Tamandua tetradactyla: one gene and its partner. The protein of the gene in region 1 purifies or fractionates together with the protein of each later gene. This does not show direct contact. Links are inferred from orthologs where the notes say so. Each region holds a gene or a part of one and is shown in the gene's direction. Other genes may lie near its edges. The genes, in order: PHIP and CUL4B.

The links.
Region 2: the proteins of PHIP (region 1) and CUL4B purify together in Homo sapiens (affinity purification with western blotting; 8 studies listed by BioGRID and IntAct, with this or other methods). This does not show direct contact. The link is inferred for Tamandua tetradactyla from reciprocal best matches to the Homo sapiens genes PHIP and CUL4B.

Annotation. Positions count from the first base shown.
Region 1 is NC_135331.1:135,416,784-135,425,645, reverse strand, and holds the start of PHIP (PH-interacting protein), read left to right. Parts: upstream 1-5,343; 5' UTR 5,344-5,578; coding exon 5,579-5,618; intron 5,619-5,735; coding exon 5,736-5,794; intron 5,795-5,916; coding exon 5,917-5,946; intron 5,947-6,135; coding exon 6,136-6,195; intron 6,196-8,862.
Region 2 is NC_135353.1:46,083,165-46,092,916, forward strand, and holds the start of CUL4B (cullin-4B), read left to right. Parts: upstream 1-5,780; 5' UTR 5,781-6,034; intron 6,035-6,661; 5' UTR 6,662-6,674; coding exon 6,675-6,735; intron 6,736-9,752.

The DNA of each region.
Region 1 (8,862 bases):
ACAGGAAACTGATTTTCAAATTAATTACATATCCTATTTATATTTGATTTACCATTGGAAACTCTGAAGTTTCAGTGGTGAAAGAGAAGGGAAATCTATAGAAAAACTTAGAAGAAAGTAAAAATGTGGGAAGATCCAGGGAAGATGGAAATTTTACACATATACTTACAAAAAACCCCAAACAGCGAATGACAAAAACAAGTGTAAAGTGTAACATATGCAAACCAGAGATGTAAGGATGGTAGGACAAAAAGGCAACGTATTTCTTCCTTCTTATGATACCACTAACTCAATATTCTTAAGATGTTCCCTAATAATGCCCAGTGATGTCACTTCTGATAACTGTCACAGGGAAATAGTAATGCTATGAGCATCACAAAACCCATTATAACATTCCATCTACATGTATACTTCTATGCACTTTAATGTAAGACTGAAAATTATGAGTGCAACAGGATTTGTAGGTGTACTCTCAAAATCAATGTGTAAATTTTTCTTAAATTTTGAACAATCTCAGTTGAAAGTCATATCACTAACTTAAATTTTAGAACTGTATAATAGAACTCATTCTTTGTTCAGGCCAGCTAGTTCATCATCAATTCAACAAATATGCATGAGCATACTCATCAAAGGGAACAAAGCAACAGAGGGATAAGGGATCTTTGTCTAGTATACATATAAGAGAAGAAAAACAAAGGCAATTTGCAAAGTTGTATAATTAGACAGACCTTCCTATGGGAATTTAGAAAATGGGAGGACCACTTTTGACAAAGTCAGTTTAAATCTAAATTGGCTTAATTCTCAATTTTGAGTTGGACCTTATTCTCCCACATCACTTGTCAGGACTGTGATGACAGATCTTATTCTTTTAAACAGCCGTTTTCCTTCTTCACCAACAGTGTCTACCTTGAATCTGAATGTTTTTATTCTGCAAAGATTCCTCACTAACTTGTCAGGTACACCTCCCATTTCCCTGCCCACAATTAAAATAATTTTTCCTTTGGGGTTCTTGAAATTTATTAATTCAGGCACATGTAAATGCTAGTGACCACATAACTCCTATCCTCAAGTTCTATCTAAAAATCACATTGATAATATTAGATTTAATTTAAAACACCACCAGCAGCAACTTTAAAGAGCTTCCACACCTTTATACCCCTGAGACTACCTTGTCTTCTTCCACTGCTCTCTTCAGCCCAACCCACTCCTAAAACACATTCCTATGATAGAATATGCCTACTACATACAGTCTTCTCCTTCTGCCATCTGGAACAGCTTTTTCTACTTCATGCACTATCTCTCTCTCCAAATCTTAAGGGAATATGTTCTGAAATGGCTTTTCCCTTTCAATCTTTGTAATTGTACTTTTAAGCTCATGAAGGGATTTTTAAAAAAAACAAACCTATAAATAAACCCATGAAGATGAGTATTTCTTGCGCAAATTTTATATATATTTAAGATCTAAACTACTAGGGTTATTTAACTTGGAGAAAAAAAGCTGAGTGGTGAATTGCTAATATTTAAATATTGACGTATGATTGTTGGTGACCAGCTAGTTTCCTTTGTTACAGATTACAAGGAAATATGCTTTAATTTAAGTAAAAAGGTTTTTCAGTGAGATATAAGGAAGACAATAAATAGAGTTAAATAATGGATGGCTTAGTAAAATTGGTCATCCCTGTTCTTTCTCTAGCAACCGTTAAATAGTGTTCATGCACCTCAAATTTGATATATATTCAAGCTTTGTGAAGAAGGAAGGATGTACATTTTTGAGAGCGATGAGGTCAGACAGACATAAACAAAAAGATACAATTTTGGGGAGGGAGTCAGAAGGAGTCTTTGCGGTGTACTAAGACCCATTTTATAGCTGTATTCTGTTGGTGGGGTAGATGAGTATAAATGGTATTTTTTGAAGAACAGTGTTTTCCACTTTTCTTTTTCATATTTCATAAAGTTTTCCTATAAAAAAGCATAACTTCAAAACACAGACAAGATTTAACATATAATTCAAAAGTGGTATTTGTAAAGATTTTTTTTGAGTTATGTATTATTCACCACACCAGAGCAAACCAAATTTCGTAAGTGTGGTAGAATCTTTTTATTTATATACAGTATTCCACCTTGTTCCACAAAGGACTTGTATGGCAGTACTTGATTATTTTATTTGAAAAAGAGCTTATCAAGATTAAGATTCAAAAAGTTTTTGTTAAATGTTTTTCTTGTTTCATGTGATGCCAAGTAAAAAGAAGTGAATTTTACAGGAACTTTTAAATTGCAAGGAAAGTTTATAATTCTCCCAGAGACCATATTATATAAAACAACAACTTCCCATAAGTTGTTGTCTTTCCAAACTTTTAATATGTTTTGTTAGAGCTCTTTATTTGAAAAATTTGAAGATCTTTTTAAATTAACATTTTATTTTTGAAGTCAAGAAAAAGTTAATAATTCCCTGAAATACACAAACAGAAAGGGATATAGATAGAATTTGAACTATCCTTTTATGCAAAAGAGTTAGCTGAGAAAAGAATTGCAAGTGTCATTGCTATGGGAACTAAAATATAGAACTTCTAAATAAGATTTTCTTTCTATTTGATACATATACACTTTCTTCATACATATGCACAATAAATGACTTAATGAACCCTGCAACGAACTGATGATGTCAGAATTCAAAACTGTGTTTTAGGCTTGAAGAAATTAAAAATTATATGGATTATATAGTTATATCTGTTAGATTTGAAGACAGCAAAATTCAGTTTAACATCAATTATTAAAAACAATGTAAGAGATGTTTTAATCTTTGGCAGGTAATCTATACTTTCCTAAAATACATTGATAGTTATTAATTACTTCAAAGACAGGGTTACAGATAGCTTTAATTTAGATATTTGAAAAAGAAACTATAAAAACTGTCAATATTGGTCAAAATGAGAGGAACATCATATTCAGAAAATTTAGGAAATTTTCCTTAAAAAAATTTAGGAACTAAGTACTAATAGCATACTTAGGAAAATGGATTAGTGGCTTCCAAATGAAAAACATACGTGAGATCATCATGCTAGTCTTCTACGTTTGCAAAACCCATAAGATACATTGGAAAACTTTACTCAGAGTAATTTTATATTCCATATCATAATTTGATTTATTTTTCTTCTCAAGCATAAAACATCTATTAGTAAAAATCAGACCAATTCAACCATTTCAAGAGCAGAAAATTCCAAGTATAATTTCTGGTTCCTAAAATCTATTGATTTTAGAGAACATCATGATAACATAAAATATCACAATTATTTGAAGGATATACTTTTTAAAAAGTTACGGTAAACTGGAAAGTATCTGCCGTAGAAATAAACACAATTTTAAAAAGGCAAATAAAACATCCTTCTTTTCAAACCTACCCATCTAGAAGCAGACTACCTTGCCTATAATAAAATGGAATTGATATCTTAAAAAATGCAAATATTTTCAGTATTTGAAGCATAGTCTATGTCAATAAATAACAGTTATTTTGATAATTAGGTAGGAATGGTCAAGTCATAGTAACCTTCCATTTTAATTTTATTAAATTGACTTACGAAAGACAATTTTTACATTCTACTATTCTAAAAGGGGTCAGGCTTTTTTCCTTCTTCCTCAAATGTATTATGATTTCTGGATGCTTTAGTACAGGGCACCACACCATTACAGTTTTGCAGTGCAGCCCAAGCCAGTTGCACCAAGTATTTCCCATTAGAAATGTCAGGAGCTGGGAGGTACAAGGCTTGAGGAAACAACCTAGAAAACCATAATACAGCTTGTGGGTCTTTTCCACACAAATTACCTTTTTAAACCAGATCCATAAAGTGCAGTGTATTATCCTTATGTTTTAAGAAGAATCTTTTGTCAAATATTAACAAAAGAAGGACTAACCTAATTCACTTGAAAATGCAATTTAAAAACAAAAACAAAAACATCTGAACTCTCAGGTCTTTTTGGAAAGTGCTTGAATCATTTCGAGATAAATATTATTTAGTATCCTTGTTTTCTAACAAATGGCTTTTTCCATTGTTTCCATTAATTTCACCCATATTCGTTTTTAAGAAAACAAGGCCCTTATCCTCATCAGCAAAACACAGATGTATGATTTAGCATATAAAACCGGTAATTACAGAGTAATTTACAAAAGATTATTTTTTCTCTTTTCTTCAGTTTTCACGAAGTCTTCCCGTGATTAAATGTAAACAGAATGGTTTACACCTCAAATTAGAAGCCATTAATTAGCATGACGAAGTCAACTGCAAGATACACAGATAATTTAAATTATTTAATCCTAATCACTTTGGCTAAACTGTACGTAGTATTTCAATATCCTTTGGTAGGTTATCGATGTGTCATTAAATTACCCCCAGATCAGTTAGAGATAAATATTAGCGTCCTTTGCTTTTCCTCAGATTTACACTATCCCATCTTGTAAATACTTAAAAGAGCTTTAAGGTTCCTTAATCCCAGATCCCTAATTAGCCATTACTGGCCTTTTTTGTAATCAGGAAAAAAAAGAGTATGAAGTACAAGCCAGGAGTTCGTTCTGCCCAAGTATCAATAAAAAACATTTAAAAAATGTACGATTAAGGAAACAGCAGTAATAAAAAAATATGCAGAGGTAGCTTCAGCAAATAACGGGCTTACAAAATGCAAGTGCTTAACAAAAAAAACCGCCCGAACCTTTATTGCAATATACAGCACTCCAATAAATTACACAACACTTGCATAGGCTGCAGAAATAACGCAGGGTAAGACTTACACAGATGCCAATCCGCAGCATTTATACACATGCACATGGCAAGAGACAGAAACCAAACACTATCATTCAACTCGGGGATGGTAGCGCGATCCCGAGTTTGCCCAGCGTGAGAATGCTCTCTGCGTGTGTCTGTGTGCGCGCGTGAGAGTGAGACCCATCCTCGGGGTATTTCCCCTCTTTGGGCAGTTTTGCTTCATTTGTTTCCTATTTCTGCTACATAGAAACTAACTTCCATCTCAGCATTAGCCTGCGCCGCTGAATAGAGCCTGTGCTGCGGCTCCGTGTGCGTCAGATCCCTCCGCTGAGCCAGTCCCAACCCCCTCCCTCCCGCTGTCGGCCTCCACAGAGAAAGCGCCTTCCAGCCAACCCGAGGCTCCGACATCTTCTCCAACTGGAAATAAATAAATAAATCGAACCCTTGGCTGGGGAGGAAGGGGCGGGAGTCGCGCCGATCCAGTTGCCCGAGCGTCGAGGGCGAGGGGCAGGAGGCACTCCTTTTTTGCGCCGGGGGGGCGGGGGCACAGGCCTCAGACCCGGCCAAGCACGAAGCCGCGAAGGCGGTGGACTCCTTTCTGCGGCGGAGGGATTCGCGGCGGAGGCGGCGGCGGCCGTAGCCGCTGCCTGAGAGTTGTTGTTTCCTCCTCCTCCTCCTCCTCCTCCGCCGCCGTTGGTTGAATGGTGGAGCCGAGGTTCGGCTCGTGAACACACAGTGACAGCTATAGGGCAGGCGGCGGCACCATCCCCGCTTCCTCTCGGCGGCGGGGTGCCCCGCCGGCGGCCCTGAAGTGACCCATAAACATGTCTTGTGAGAGGAAAGGCCTCTCGGAGCTGCGATCGGGTAAGTCGAGGAGATGCCGGGGCCGCTGGCACCAGGCGATTCCGCCCGCGGTCCCCCGCCCCCCCCGCCGTCCGGCTGCTCAGCCCCTGTGTCTCCCCGTTCCTCTCTCCCGCGCAGAGCTCTACTTCCTCATCGCCCGGTTCCTGGAAGATGGACCCTGTCAGCAGGCGGCTCAGGTACGGCGGCGCGCGGCGCGGGCTGGGCCGGCGCTCGCCGCTCGCGGGCGTGGGGGAGGGCGGCGGCAGTGGGGCTGCGGCCCGGGGCGCGGGGCTCAACTCTCCCCGCTTTGTTGTTGCAGGTGCTGATCCGCGAGGTGGCCGAGAAAGAGGTAAGGGCGGCGGCGGCCCACCGCATCCCGCCGCAGCGCGGCTGTCTCTGGGCCGCTGCGCCGCTGCCGCCGCCGGCGGGGCGCGGGGCGCGGGGTTTGGGGTCCCCGCTGGGGCGCGGGACGGGCGAGGGAGGGGAGCATGCGGGCCGGGGCCGGGGACTGGGCTCACGGGGCGTGCTCTCCCCGCAGCTGCTGCCCCGGCGCACCGACTGGACCGGGAAGGAGCATCCCAGGACCTACCAGAACCTGGTGAGACATTCACGTCGCGGAGCAAAGAAACTTTTCCCCGAGTCGAATAAAAATTGAATTTCCCGCAATTTTTTACAGAGACAAAAACTTGGCCCCAGAACGTGAAAGCTGCAAAGGCCACGGGGAGGTTTGGGAGGCCGGCGCAGGGGCTGCGGGGAGCAGTGGCCTGAGGGACTCGCACCCCGGGGCCGTAGGGGCTGCCGACAATTTATTTGTGATATTTTGTTAATGTGCTAGAAATAAAGATACGTCATGAGTGTTGTGCAGTGCAAGGCCGGAGGAGGAGGGGCCGGCGCGCGCGTCCGTGCGGGCGCGGGGGCGCGCGCGAGGTGGCGGCGGCGGCGGCGGCGGCGGGAGGAGGAGGAGGAGGAGGGAGGGCGCGCTCGTTCGTTCGCTCTGCACGCGCGGCCGGCTCGGCTTTCTCCTTCCCCACACAATAGCTGGTGACTAACTGCTCCGAAGTGGCATTAGCATTTCACAAGCAGGCTATTCAGCAACTGCGGAACCAGGGCAAGTCGTTATTCTTATTTTTTCCTCTCCCGTTTATTTTTCTTTCCTTAAATTCAGACCACGTTTTTTGTTGTTTAAGGAATTTAGTGATGATAGTTGGCTAGGGCACATTTTGCATGTACTAAGACGAATTTACAGAAGTGTAAAACCTGAGTAACACCCTAAAACCAGAGGTTTAAGAGGCTTTTGAAAATGCTAATTTTCGTGCTAAACCCCTTGTCCAAATAGAAATTATTGGAGGCCACCGAAGAGTTGATTTTATCCTTTCATATTTGTTGTGGGATGAAAAATTGGCAAGTAAAAGTTTTTCTGTTTGTATTGGATAGTATATATTATTTGATAGCTTGAAAAAGGCTTGTTTCTTAATTTTGTTGGTTTTCGAAGTAAGTAGGAATTTCTAAAAATGGACTTTAAAAAGTGGACCTATCGCTTAAGGATCGTAAATTGAAATGTAAGATAATGTTATCCCGGAGCTAGATTTTACATAAAGTTTGCTATTTAACTGTACGAACATGTGTGTTGGGCAGTTAAAGCAATCCCATCAGGGCATACCAAGCCTTTGAAATGTATGAAGTCCACTGACGTTCTGTAACATATTTGCAGATAGTTTTGAGATAGAATTACTGATATCACTTTTACAAGTTTCAGCCAGCTGAGAGTGAATGTCTTCCATAAGGTATAGCATGATTTTGGTGGCTTTTGTTTCATTTTGTATATAGTGCACGTGTATAAATCTCTTGTGCTTTAATATAAGTTGTTGATGAACCAAAGATAACTTAGGTTTAATGAATGTAGTGGAGATTTTCGGTATATTTCTACACTTTGTTAGTTTTCAAGCAGTGGTTTAGGCTAGTTTCATTCAGTACTTGGCCAAGGTGAAGTTTGAAGTAAACTGCAAGACTATAAGTGCAACATTAGAAATTAATGTGTAGGTTTGTAAATATTTGATAGTCTTCAGTGGATTTCCAAGATTTCCTAGGTATTTGAAAACATTTAAATAATTTTAATCCATTTTTAGGACAGGTATATTTTGCAGAAGTTATCTTTGCATCCCTTAAAAAACAAACCCTAAGTTACCGAAAATTGCTGTGTTCTCTTACTTGAGGTTCTTTATAATTAATATAATAAATAGCAATATTAAAGTATATTTGCATATTTTAAATATGCCAAATTATGGGACTGACTGATCCTTGTAGGGTATCATTTTTTCCCAGTAAAGAGTGCCAATTTTGACTTTTATTGAACTTTTTAGAGAAGTTTCTCATCTCAAATATGAATGAAATGAATTTATAGTCTATCAGACTTAAGATACAGTAACCAGTGTCTTAATCAGTTGTGTTGTTTATCAAAATCCACCTATTTTGGATGGAAGTGGTTTTTCTTGTTTGGAATGTTTTCATCTCTTGTTGGCATACTCATGAGACAGTTAAGAATTTTCATTAGAATTCACAGTTCTTTGACTCATTTTCTATTCATTTAGCATGTTTGTTCAATCTGTTTCTACTGTATGCCAGGTGCCATTTGAGGTGCTTTCAAATGCATCAAAATATGTATTTAATGTGTGGCTTGGTTTAATGCTATTTAATTGTTTTATTGAGATTTAATTGGCTGTAAAAATGTTTTGGAGCGCAAGGTTTCTGAGCACATTTTATTATTTAGTAGTAGATCTTGAAATGTTATGTCCAGGTGAATATATGTGAAGGGTCTTATATTCTCTGTTGTCTTAATTTATTTTTAGAACTCAGAAAAGTTTTTATTTTGTTGCCTATTGAATTTAACGTTGGTTTGAAGATTATTTTGGTGAGTGCAATTGTTTTTGGTTTCAGTAGTGTCTACTTCTACCTGTAAATGATTTGTTGCTAAGTTAATAGATAAACTGAGCAGTATTTTCAAATGAGAGTGTTTATATGTCAGATTGAAATCCCTTGAAAAACCCAAATTATAGCCATTTAGGATGGTGTGTGGTATTTGTGAGTTTAAAAAAAATAGGCATGGATCAGCATGTGCAGTCCACTGACAGACGTTCATAATGAATTTTGATGAAGAGGAAAATGGAGTCTTGAGAGCAGTTTTAAAAGTTTACAGATTTAAAAATAACATTGACGCATTTATTTCAAGTGTGATTGAGAAAGGAAACACATAATGTGAGGGTTATTT
Region 2 (9,752 bases), on another chromosome or scaffold:
TCAAGATATCCCTTCTAAGGTGAAGGATAAGCTGTTGCATCTGGTCCCTTGTACAACCAAAAACAGGCACAATGCTTAGTTGGCACATTAAGAATTTGGAGACAACATATTCCTCATTGGGGTATGTTACTCTGGCCCATTCACTAAGTAACCCAAAAAGCTCGTTTTGAGTGTGGACCAGAACAAAAAGAGGCTCTGAAACAGGTTCAGGTTGCTGTGAAAGCTTCTGTGCCACTTGGGCCATATGATCCAGCAGATTCAGTGGTTCTAGAAGTGTCAGTGACAAATAGAGATGCTGTCTGGAGCCTTTGGCAGGCTCCTATAGGATAAAAACAATGCAGGCCCTTAGGATTTTGGAGCAAAGTCTTGCCATCTTCTGCAGATAACTACTCTCCTTTTGACCAACAGCTTTCAGCCTGCTACGGGGCCTTAGTAGAGACTGAACGCTTAGTTACCCTGAGACCTGAGTTGTCTATTATGAGCTGACTGTTGTCTCACCCACCAAGCCATAAAGTTAGGCATGTACAACTGTACTCCATCATAAAATGGAAGTGGTATATGTGAGATAGGGCCAGAGCAGGTCCTGAAGACTCAAGTAAGTCACATAATGAAAGGCCCAAAAGCCTATGGCCCCCACTCCTGCCACATTACCTTCTCTTTCCAGCCACAGCTATGGCCTCTTGGGGAGTTCCTTACAGTGAGCTGACTGAGGAAGAGAAAACTCTGGCCTGGTTTACAGGAGGTTCTGCACAATATGTGGGTACCACATGAAAGTGCACAGCTGCAGCACTGCAGCCCTTTTCTTGTTATCCCTGAAGGACAGTGGTGAGGGGATATCCTCCTAGTGGGTGGAACTTCAAGCAGTGCACTTGGTTGTTCATTTTGCTTGGAAGGGGAAATGGCTGGAGGGGCATTTGTATATGATTCATGGGCTGTCGCTAACGGTTTGGCTGGATGGTCAGGGACTTAAAAGAACATGACTGGAAAATTGATGACAAAGAGGTCTGGGGAAGAGGTATGTAAATAGACCTTTCTGAGTGGGCAAAAAACATGAAGATATTTGTATCCCACATGAATGCTCACCAGAGTGTGAGTTCATTCAGCAAAGGAAGACTTTAATAATCAAATGGATAAGATGATCCATTCTGTGGAAACCAATTGGCCTCTTTCCACAGCTACTGCTGTCATTGCCCAATGGGCTCATAGTATGGTGGTAGGGATGAGGTTATGGATGGGCTCAGCAACATGGATTTTCACTCACCAAGGCTGACCTGGCTATGGCCACTGCTGCATGTCCGATCTCTTAGCAGCAGAGACCAACACTCTGTCCTCAATTTGGCCCATTCCCAAGGTGATCTGCCTGATAGCAGGTTGATTACATTGGACCACTTCCATCATGGAAGAGGTAGCGTGTGGTACCTGGAATAGACACATACTCTGGATAGGCATTTGCCTTCCCTGCATACAATGCTTCTGGCAAAACTACCGTTCATGGACTTATAGAATGCCTTATCCTCCATCATGGTATTCTATACAGCATTGCTTCTGATAAAGGAACATATACACAGCAAATGAAGTGAAGAAATGGGCCCATGCTCATGGAGTTCACTGGTCTTACCATGTAACCCTTCATGTTAAGGCAGCTGGATTGATAGAATCATGGAATGGCCTTTTGAAGACTCATTTACAGCACCAGTTAGGAATACCAATGGCCCAGAAACTTCAGGAATAACACTTTGCTCATCCCACCAAGCAATGAGTCAGAACCAGCTGAGATGCTTCCCTCAGGGTAAGGGTTATTTGGAAATGGTAGTAGAAGAAGCTAGTGATAAATACAGACTATGACCACATGACCAGTTACAGAAATGAGGAATATCACAGTTATGAATATTTCTTCCTTGTCTTGTTATATTTCCACATGAACATAAAGTAAATATAATTGTTGTCTTCCCTATCTTATCCCCTTATCACACAACAAAAGTTGTATTAGTTTCATGTTGTTATATTTACATGAATATACCCAAGGGCTTCCACCATATTCTGGAGAGAGTTAGTGTGTTTCCAGTTGTATGCAGGACAAGTGAGCATTGTTAGGCAAAAATATGACTGATATTAATTGTTATTTAGTGATTAAGTCTGATTTATGTTGATCTGTATGGCTGCCGGTTCATGTGTCAACTTGGCCAGTTGATGGTGTCCAGTTGTTTGGTCAAGCAAGCACTGGCCTGTGAGGACATTTTGTGGACTTAAGTCATCAGTAAGTTGATTACATCTATGTCTGATTACATCTACAATCAACCAAAAAGAGTGCCTTCAGCAATGAGAGAAGTCTCATCCTATCAGTTGAAGGCTTTAAAAGAAGTGATGATTTCAGCAGTCAGGACGGAGAATTTCCATGTCTTTGGCAGCTGGCCAGCTTCTCTTGGGGAATTCATCAAAAACCTTCAACACAGTTCCCAGCTTGCAGCCTGACTTATGGAATTTGGACGTGCAAATTCCAACAATCACATGAAACAATTTCTATAAATATCTCATATTTTCAGGTTATCTTCTGTTGATTCTGTTTCTCTAGAGAACCCTGTCTAATACACCTACTATGCCTCTTGGATGTTTCAAAAGCACCTCAAATTCAACATTTCCAAAACCAAACTCTTTCTTCCTTCCCAACCCCCTAAAACTGAAGCAAAAACTTGATCCTCTCCCAGGATTCTCTATGTCAGTGAATATCACTATCATCTATCCACTTGTACAAGCCAGAAATCATGGAATCATCCTTACTACGTCCTCTCCCTCATGTCTATGTCCAACCCATCCTGAAACCCTATCAATTTTACCTACCAAAATCTCCTCAAACTTGCTTCTACTCTCTTGATCTCTGCCAGTCCCACCATCTCTAAGATATCTGCATTTACACCAGGAGTATAGTAATTGCCTTCTAATTGAGCTCCCTACTTTGACTTTTGCCACTAATCTGCTGCTTTTTACAATCAAAGTGGTCTTTTACAAAACCCAGATTTGCATATTTAATTTTTTCAATTGTTCTTATTGTTTTTAGGGTTGCAATGTGTACACAGGGCCCCTCAAGAGCAAATTAGAAAAAGGCATGATACTTGAAGCAGAAAAATTGCAAAAGAAAGAGTGTCCTCTTGGGTACGGTTAGTTAAAAAAAAAAGTCACCCCTTTGGACAGACCAGTTACAAAAGCTTGTCTTTCTCTTGCTTTAGGACACAAGGCTAGGTTAACTAGCTGGATTTCATTTCCCCACTCCTACCTGTTCAGTCAAACACGCTGGTGCAGGGCACATTCTGCAGAACCATACATAGTGAACAATAGGGTCTCTGTTGATGCCAATTACAATGCCCAGAGACAAGGCCTTGGTCCTATCGGGTCTTCTAAAAATTCCATGCACAGGGTTGAGAGGTCATGTTTAAACTCAGAGGCCTAAAGCAGGCTCTTATGACAGCAGCATTTCCTCCCCACCTTTCACTGCTCCAAGAGACAAGCCCCTTAATTCCCTAAGATCTGATGTTTATGTCATAGGAGCTCAGAAAAGGGAGGGCAGATTGAAAAGGATATGTGAATTTGACTGAAAATGTCAAAAATTTGGTACTACACGCCTATCAAAATGGCTAAAATGCAAAAATTGTGACTCAAACACCAAATACTAAATAGGGTGCAGAAAAATTGCATCAACTCATACACTGATGGTGGGACTATAAAAGTTTAAAAGTTTACAGATTTAAATAACATTCTTGAAACAACAAAATTATAAAAATGAAGAACAGAATGGAGTTACTAGGGGTTCAAGAGGGAGGGGAGAGAAGGAATGTGGGAGTGGCTATAATATGTATTTGTACAGAATTTATATTTGTGTTGATAGTAAAGTTTTAGAAATGGAGGGTGGTAATGGTAGCACAACATTAACAGCACTGAATTATATATATGAATGTGGTTAAAAGGGGAAATTTTAGGTCATATATATGTTACTAGAATAAAAATTAAAAGATAAAACATAGGACTGTACAACCCTACTGAAAACTATGGACTATAGTTAATAGTACAATTATAAAGATATTCTTTTATAAATTATGACAAATATGCCACACTAATGCAAGGTGTTACTGATAGGGTGGTATAAGAGGAAAAATACACCTAATATAAATGATGGACTATAATTAATAATACAGTTATAATATTCTTTCACCAGTTGTAACAAAGATACCAAACTAATGCAAAGTGTTAATAATGGGGGGTGTACATAGGGATGCTGTATTTTTACATGATTTTTCTGTAAACCTACAACTTCTCTAATTAAAAATATTAAATAATAAAATAACATATGCAGTACTGAAGTAGAAATGCATATATGATTCAGAGTTTTCTAGTGGCCAAAGCAACAAAGGAAACAATAAATTACAAGTAGTAAATTTTATATGAAATAAATATGATTGTATACAAAACAGTCTGGGAGAAGCTCCTCCATGGACCCTCATACCAAGCATTATAGTGGGCAATGCTCTTCATGAAAAAAATACTGTATGCCTATTTTTATAGGATCTATTATTGTAAGCAGAGAGAACATACCTCCAAAGCAAACTTTATGGAAAGCAAATACTATATAAAATTAAACAACATAAGCAAAAATAAAAAGGGACATTAATTAAGAAGGATCCTTGCATTGATGGAACTGTCCTGTATCTTAATAGTAGCAATGCCAATATCCTGATTGTGATATTGTACTACAGTTTTGCAAGATGTCACCATTGTGGGAAACTGGCTAGACGGTACAAGACAGCTCCTTGTATTATTTCTTACAACTGCGTCTGGATCTACAATTATCGCAAAATAAGAAGGATAAGTAAATTTTTAAATTTAAATAAAAATTAAAAGTTGCAAGTCAATAAAAGCCCATTCATAAAACTCTATTAACTTGAAGTCATAAAGTCACAATGAAAAATTGAATTTGCCTCTTTACAAATGGATCAGGGGCATCTATAACCTTGTTAATCGCAAAGTGTTGTTATTTTTTGTCTACTGAGATATTTACAAAAAGATGGCTAGCACCTTGATTGATTTTTATGAGTGTCATTGCTCTTGATATGATTATTTGTATATCACACTTCTATGCTGGGATAAATACATTTTTAAAAAATGTTAATGCCTCCTAAGTGAGATTGCAACTTAAATTTGGAGCAAACTATCTCTTTGTTCTGGAGAAAAACGAGTTCTCTACATGCCATTTCATAATGTAAATTCAACAGACATCATCAGATCCAACCCAGTTGAATGAAGCAACGACTGTAAATATTTTGGACTAGAATTTGTGGTCAGATGATAAACTATGTCTCTGAAGACTTTGTTGATCTTTGGGGAGAAATGGTTATCATTTTCCCCATACCTGTTTAGACAGATCCATGCCTGTATATCACTGTTTGTCGAATGAAGTTAAGTATGTTATTGTTCCGGCAATTGGTAGCATAAGACGAGGCGATGAGACAGAGAGGACTGCAGAAAACATAGTGTGAAAAGGAACTAGGCTAGTCTTGGCACAAGAACAACCCTGGCTTGCCTGCAGATGTCTCATAGGCGGTATTATCAAAGATAGAATAAACCAGACCTTAGAAATGTACCCATACCAGATCGTTTTGAGGTTTTGGTTTTTTGTATTTGGCACCAACAGGTGCCTGTTAGACAAGTGGGGTTACCCCTGAAATAATTGGTCAGATCTACTGTCAATCATCTTAGAAAACAATTAAGTGAACCGGAAATCGAGCCTCTGTGGGCGGAGCTTAGGTCGAAGGGCGACCTCAAGTTGTAAGGGTACTTGTTTGTGAACGGTCCTGGCTGATCCGTCAGGTTTTTAGAGATCGGACTTTTCATAGATCAACAATAAAGATGCCCTGTTGGTCCTCATGTGATGGTGAGCTAAGCACCCCTTTGAGATTGTGAAAGGCGGTTAGAGTACCGTTTAAGAACCAACTGAAAGTGGGTCTGGACTTGGGCCTACCGACTCTAAATGAAGCCATATCTTGAGGTATTTAAGTTATTCCCTATGTTGTATTTTCTTATGTTATTCCCAAATGTATAGTAGAAATACATTAAAAGATATAGTCTTTCTTCATCTGTGATGTGGAGAATTTAGGAAAAAGCCCAGTATAATCATTGTCATTAGTGGAGAAAGCACTATCCGGCAAAGTGGTGATAACAAGAGGTCCCTCAAGAACAGGGACAAAAGCGCTGAAGCCTGAGGAGGAAGAAAATTAGCGATCTGGTTCTGATCATATGTGGAGAACCCTTAGAAATAGTTTTGAGGGAAGTCTAATTTTTGGCATTCAAGCGGGGGTGGTGTGGAGGTCGGGGCTCAAGTCATTGTAGTTTGGGGATTTAAAAGGAAACGTTTGACTTTCAATTTGAGATGTCAGTCTGAACAAACGTGTTTTCCTCTTAAAATTATATTTAAATGAAAGAAAAAAATATAAGAATAGAGCCATAACTACAAGTGGTAACAGAGAAGGGTGATTAGCAGACTAAAATGTTGAGGATCATCTTGAAGATATGAAACCAATAGGATAAAACTGGTTGAGAAACCATAGTCAGTGAACTCATAACACCATATGGGAGAAGACTGCTTTAAAAGTGAATTCTCTGTTTTTTAATACAGCCCAAAAGACAGGATGTCACAGACATCTGGATCAGGGAATACGCGTGATGATGGGGAGATCCCAGAAGACAATGGTGAGTAAATCAACTAAGTAAAACCTAGAGTTAAGTCTAAATAATTGTTAACAGTATGTCCAGGAATCTTGAAGAAATTATTAAGAAATTATTCCTATGAAGATCAAGGCATAAAACAATAAGAATTTAATAACAAGGTGGAAATAAATTCCCCCAGACAGAGTAGGGATTACGGGATGGTGGTCAAGAAGGGCACTTCTGCTTTTGCTTTATAGTTGTTGTTTTACAGTGAGAATGAATTCATATACTATTTTGGCAAAACTTTTAAAGTTTCATAATACTTAGTTTGATGATATTGATAATAGTATAAAATTTTGCTAATATTAGTGTTATAATATAAAAGTTTGATAATATTAGTGGTGCTAAAGATGCGGGACAGTCAACAGTCATTCTGAAGTTGACCCGATTCCATTTCTTCAAAAAAATCCTTGGTAATACTTTCACACATGCACAAAGATATATGTTATAGCATGTTTATTGCAGCATGCTGGTAGTAGCAAAAAGGGAAATAACCAAATGTCCAAAAATAGGAGACTAGTTAAATGACATGTTGTATTTATTTACTATGAATTAGTATGCAAATTGTAAAAAAGAATGAGGTAAATTTCTAGGTACCGTCATGTAAAGATCTCCAATATACATTAAGTGAAAAAGGCAAATTGTAGATATATATGTATGGTATGATATCATTTATGCTTAAAAATACCAAAGCTAAAAAATAAAAAGAGACAGAGGTTTCCAGGGGTCTGGGACTCTAGCCTAGTACCTCTCTCCCTTCCTTCTTCTACTTGATGAAAACCTGATAGAGAAGCAGAGAAATGCTGTATCTGGGTTACAGATGAGTCTGTATAAGTCCTCTTTCTAGGTACCCTCCTGTGTGCTCTAGAGATTTTTTTTTTCCTCCACAGGAAAGCTAATTTAAATCTTTTTGTATTCTTTTATTTCATTACCATTTGTAAGCTGTAGATTACATTTGGGTAAATTTACTTAAAGTTTTAAATTCTTGTTATAGAGCAGGAAGCAAAATTAAAAGTCACCACTAAACATTCTCCATATTCCTGTTTTTATCACTCCATATATTATGGTGCAAGTATCAGCAATTTTTTTCTGTAATAAATTAGATAGGAAATATTTTATGCTTTGTGGGCCATATGGTCTCTGTCACAACTACTGAACTCTGTTGTTTTAAGAAAAAAGCAGCTTAGGAAATATGTAAATGAATGGGCATAGCTATGTTCTAATAACCCTTCATTTACAAAAACAGGCAATGGGTCAGATTTGGTAAACAGGTTTGCCAGCTTCTGCTCTAAAACTGGTAATAGTTTGCCAGCCACTGCTCTGTTTTATCTTGTTAGCTTGTGTCTTACTTCCCATGCTTTAGCCCCACAGCTCTTATATCCAAAGATGAGTCCAACTTGTAGATCCATTTCCTGAATCAGTCTGGCTCAAGATAAGAACTATTATTCAGAAGCCACAGCTCCAACAGTAGGCCTAGGAATTGCTATGCCAGACTTGAGACTGCGATGCTTCCTTGACATCTCTGTTTAGCTCTCTAGTTTCTGATTAGGAATGTAGCCAAGCACGGATAACTTGTCTCCTTGTAAATGCCTGCTTATTCTCTCACCTCAGGACTTTAACAGGCTGTCTTCCCTCCTTGTGCCCCCAGCTCCCTCCCTTGTCTGCCTAATTGCCACTCCTCCTTGGGATTTAGATTGAATTACTTTCTCTGGAAGTTATTCTTAACTCCCCACCCTCACATTTCCTCCACTCCATTCCACCTTCCTAGGATTCCCAGGTTTCCCTCCTCTTTGTTCTCATAGCAGTGGTTGTCAGCTCCATCCTGCATTTGTCTGCCTCACCTACTAGGCCAATTGAGAACTGTTTTCGGGCAAGGGTTGTCTTTGTATATTCAGTGATAGGATCATAAGGGTTCTCCAGCAAGATCTGCTCAGTGTTTGTCTGGCTGTGACCAGAAGAAGGAGCTGGTTTGTACCTCCTGTGAAGATGAGCCATTGACTGAGGGTCCAGCCCTGGAATGGACTGATTTCCTAGAACCAAATTGGCACTGTCTCCTTGAATGTGTATTGCTTGCTACTGTGTCCTACCTACTTGATGATGGCCTGAATTGCATCCAAGCTTGGTCTCCTTTAAGCACTGTGATTTGGCTCAGTGCAATAAAGGAGTTATTTTAGTATTCCTCTTTTTTTTTTTTCACTGGTGAGTGGGCCTCAGTACGTCTTTTCCTAACTTGCCTTCTACTTGAGACTATTTTATGACAATGTCTCCTGACTAAACTGTAAACTGTGGGAAATACTGTATTTGGAACTAGAAAAGAACTAGGGTTAAGTCTGTGCTTTGTGACTTTGGCAAGTCATTTTAACTTCCTTCCCTGAGCCTGTTTCTCATCTGTAAATTAGGAATGGTATCTGACTCACCTCGGTTTGAAGATGGAATAGGATTATTTGTGTGAAAGTACTTTAAAATTATAAAAACAACCATATATGGAAAGTTTGTTCATTGTATTAGTTCTATATTTCCTCACAGCATCTAGACTGGTGTTATGCCCAGAGTAGTTGTTCAATACATTTTTGTTCAATGACCAAATGAATTGGCCAAAGAAATAATGCTATTGGTGGGAAGAAAGGACATTTAATAGACTCAGGAAAAATAGATGACTTGGCGATAGAAACATCCATATGGTTAATGATAATTCAGAAGTTGGGCATTTATGGATCGCTCCAAACTTACATTCCCAAATATCTGCTCTTTACTTATAAAAATATTTAAATTTTCTTTTAACATGATTTTAGCAGCTGGGCTAAACTGTCAAATTTGACAAAATTTTAAATATGCAATCTTCACCAAGCAGTATTGACCCTAGGCAATAGTGTGAGGTCAGCCAGTTGTATTAAGAAATCTTCCTCCCTTTTTGGTAACTTTCCCTTCACCCATCCCCAAGGCAGTGCTTCTCCTAGTTCTGTGCACCTCATCACATTTCTGACTTTTGTATTGTCCTT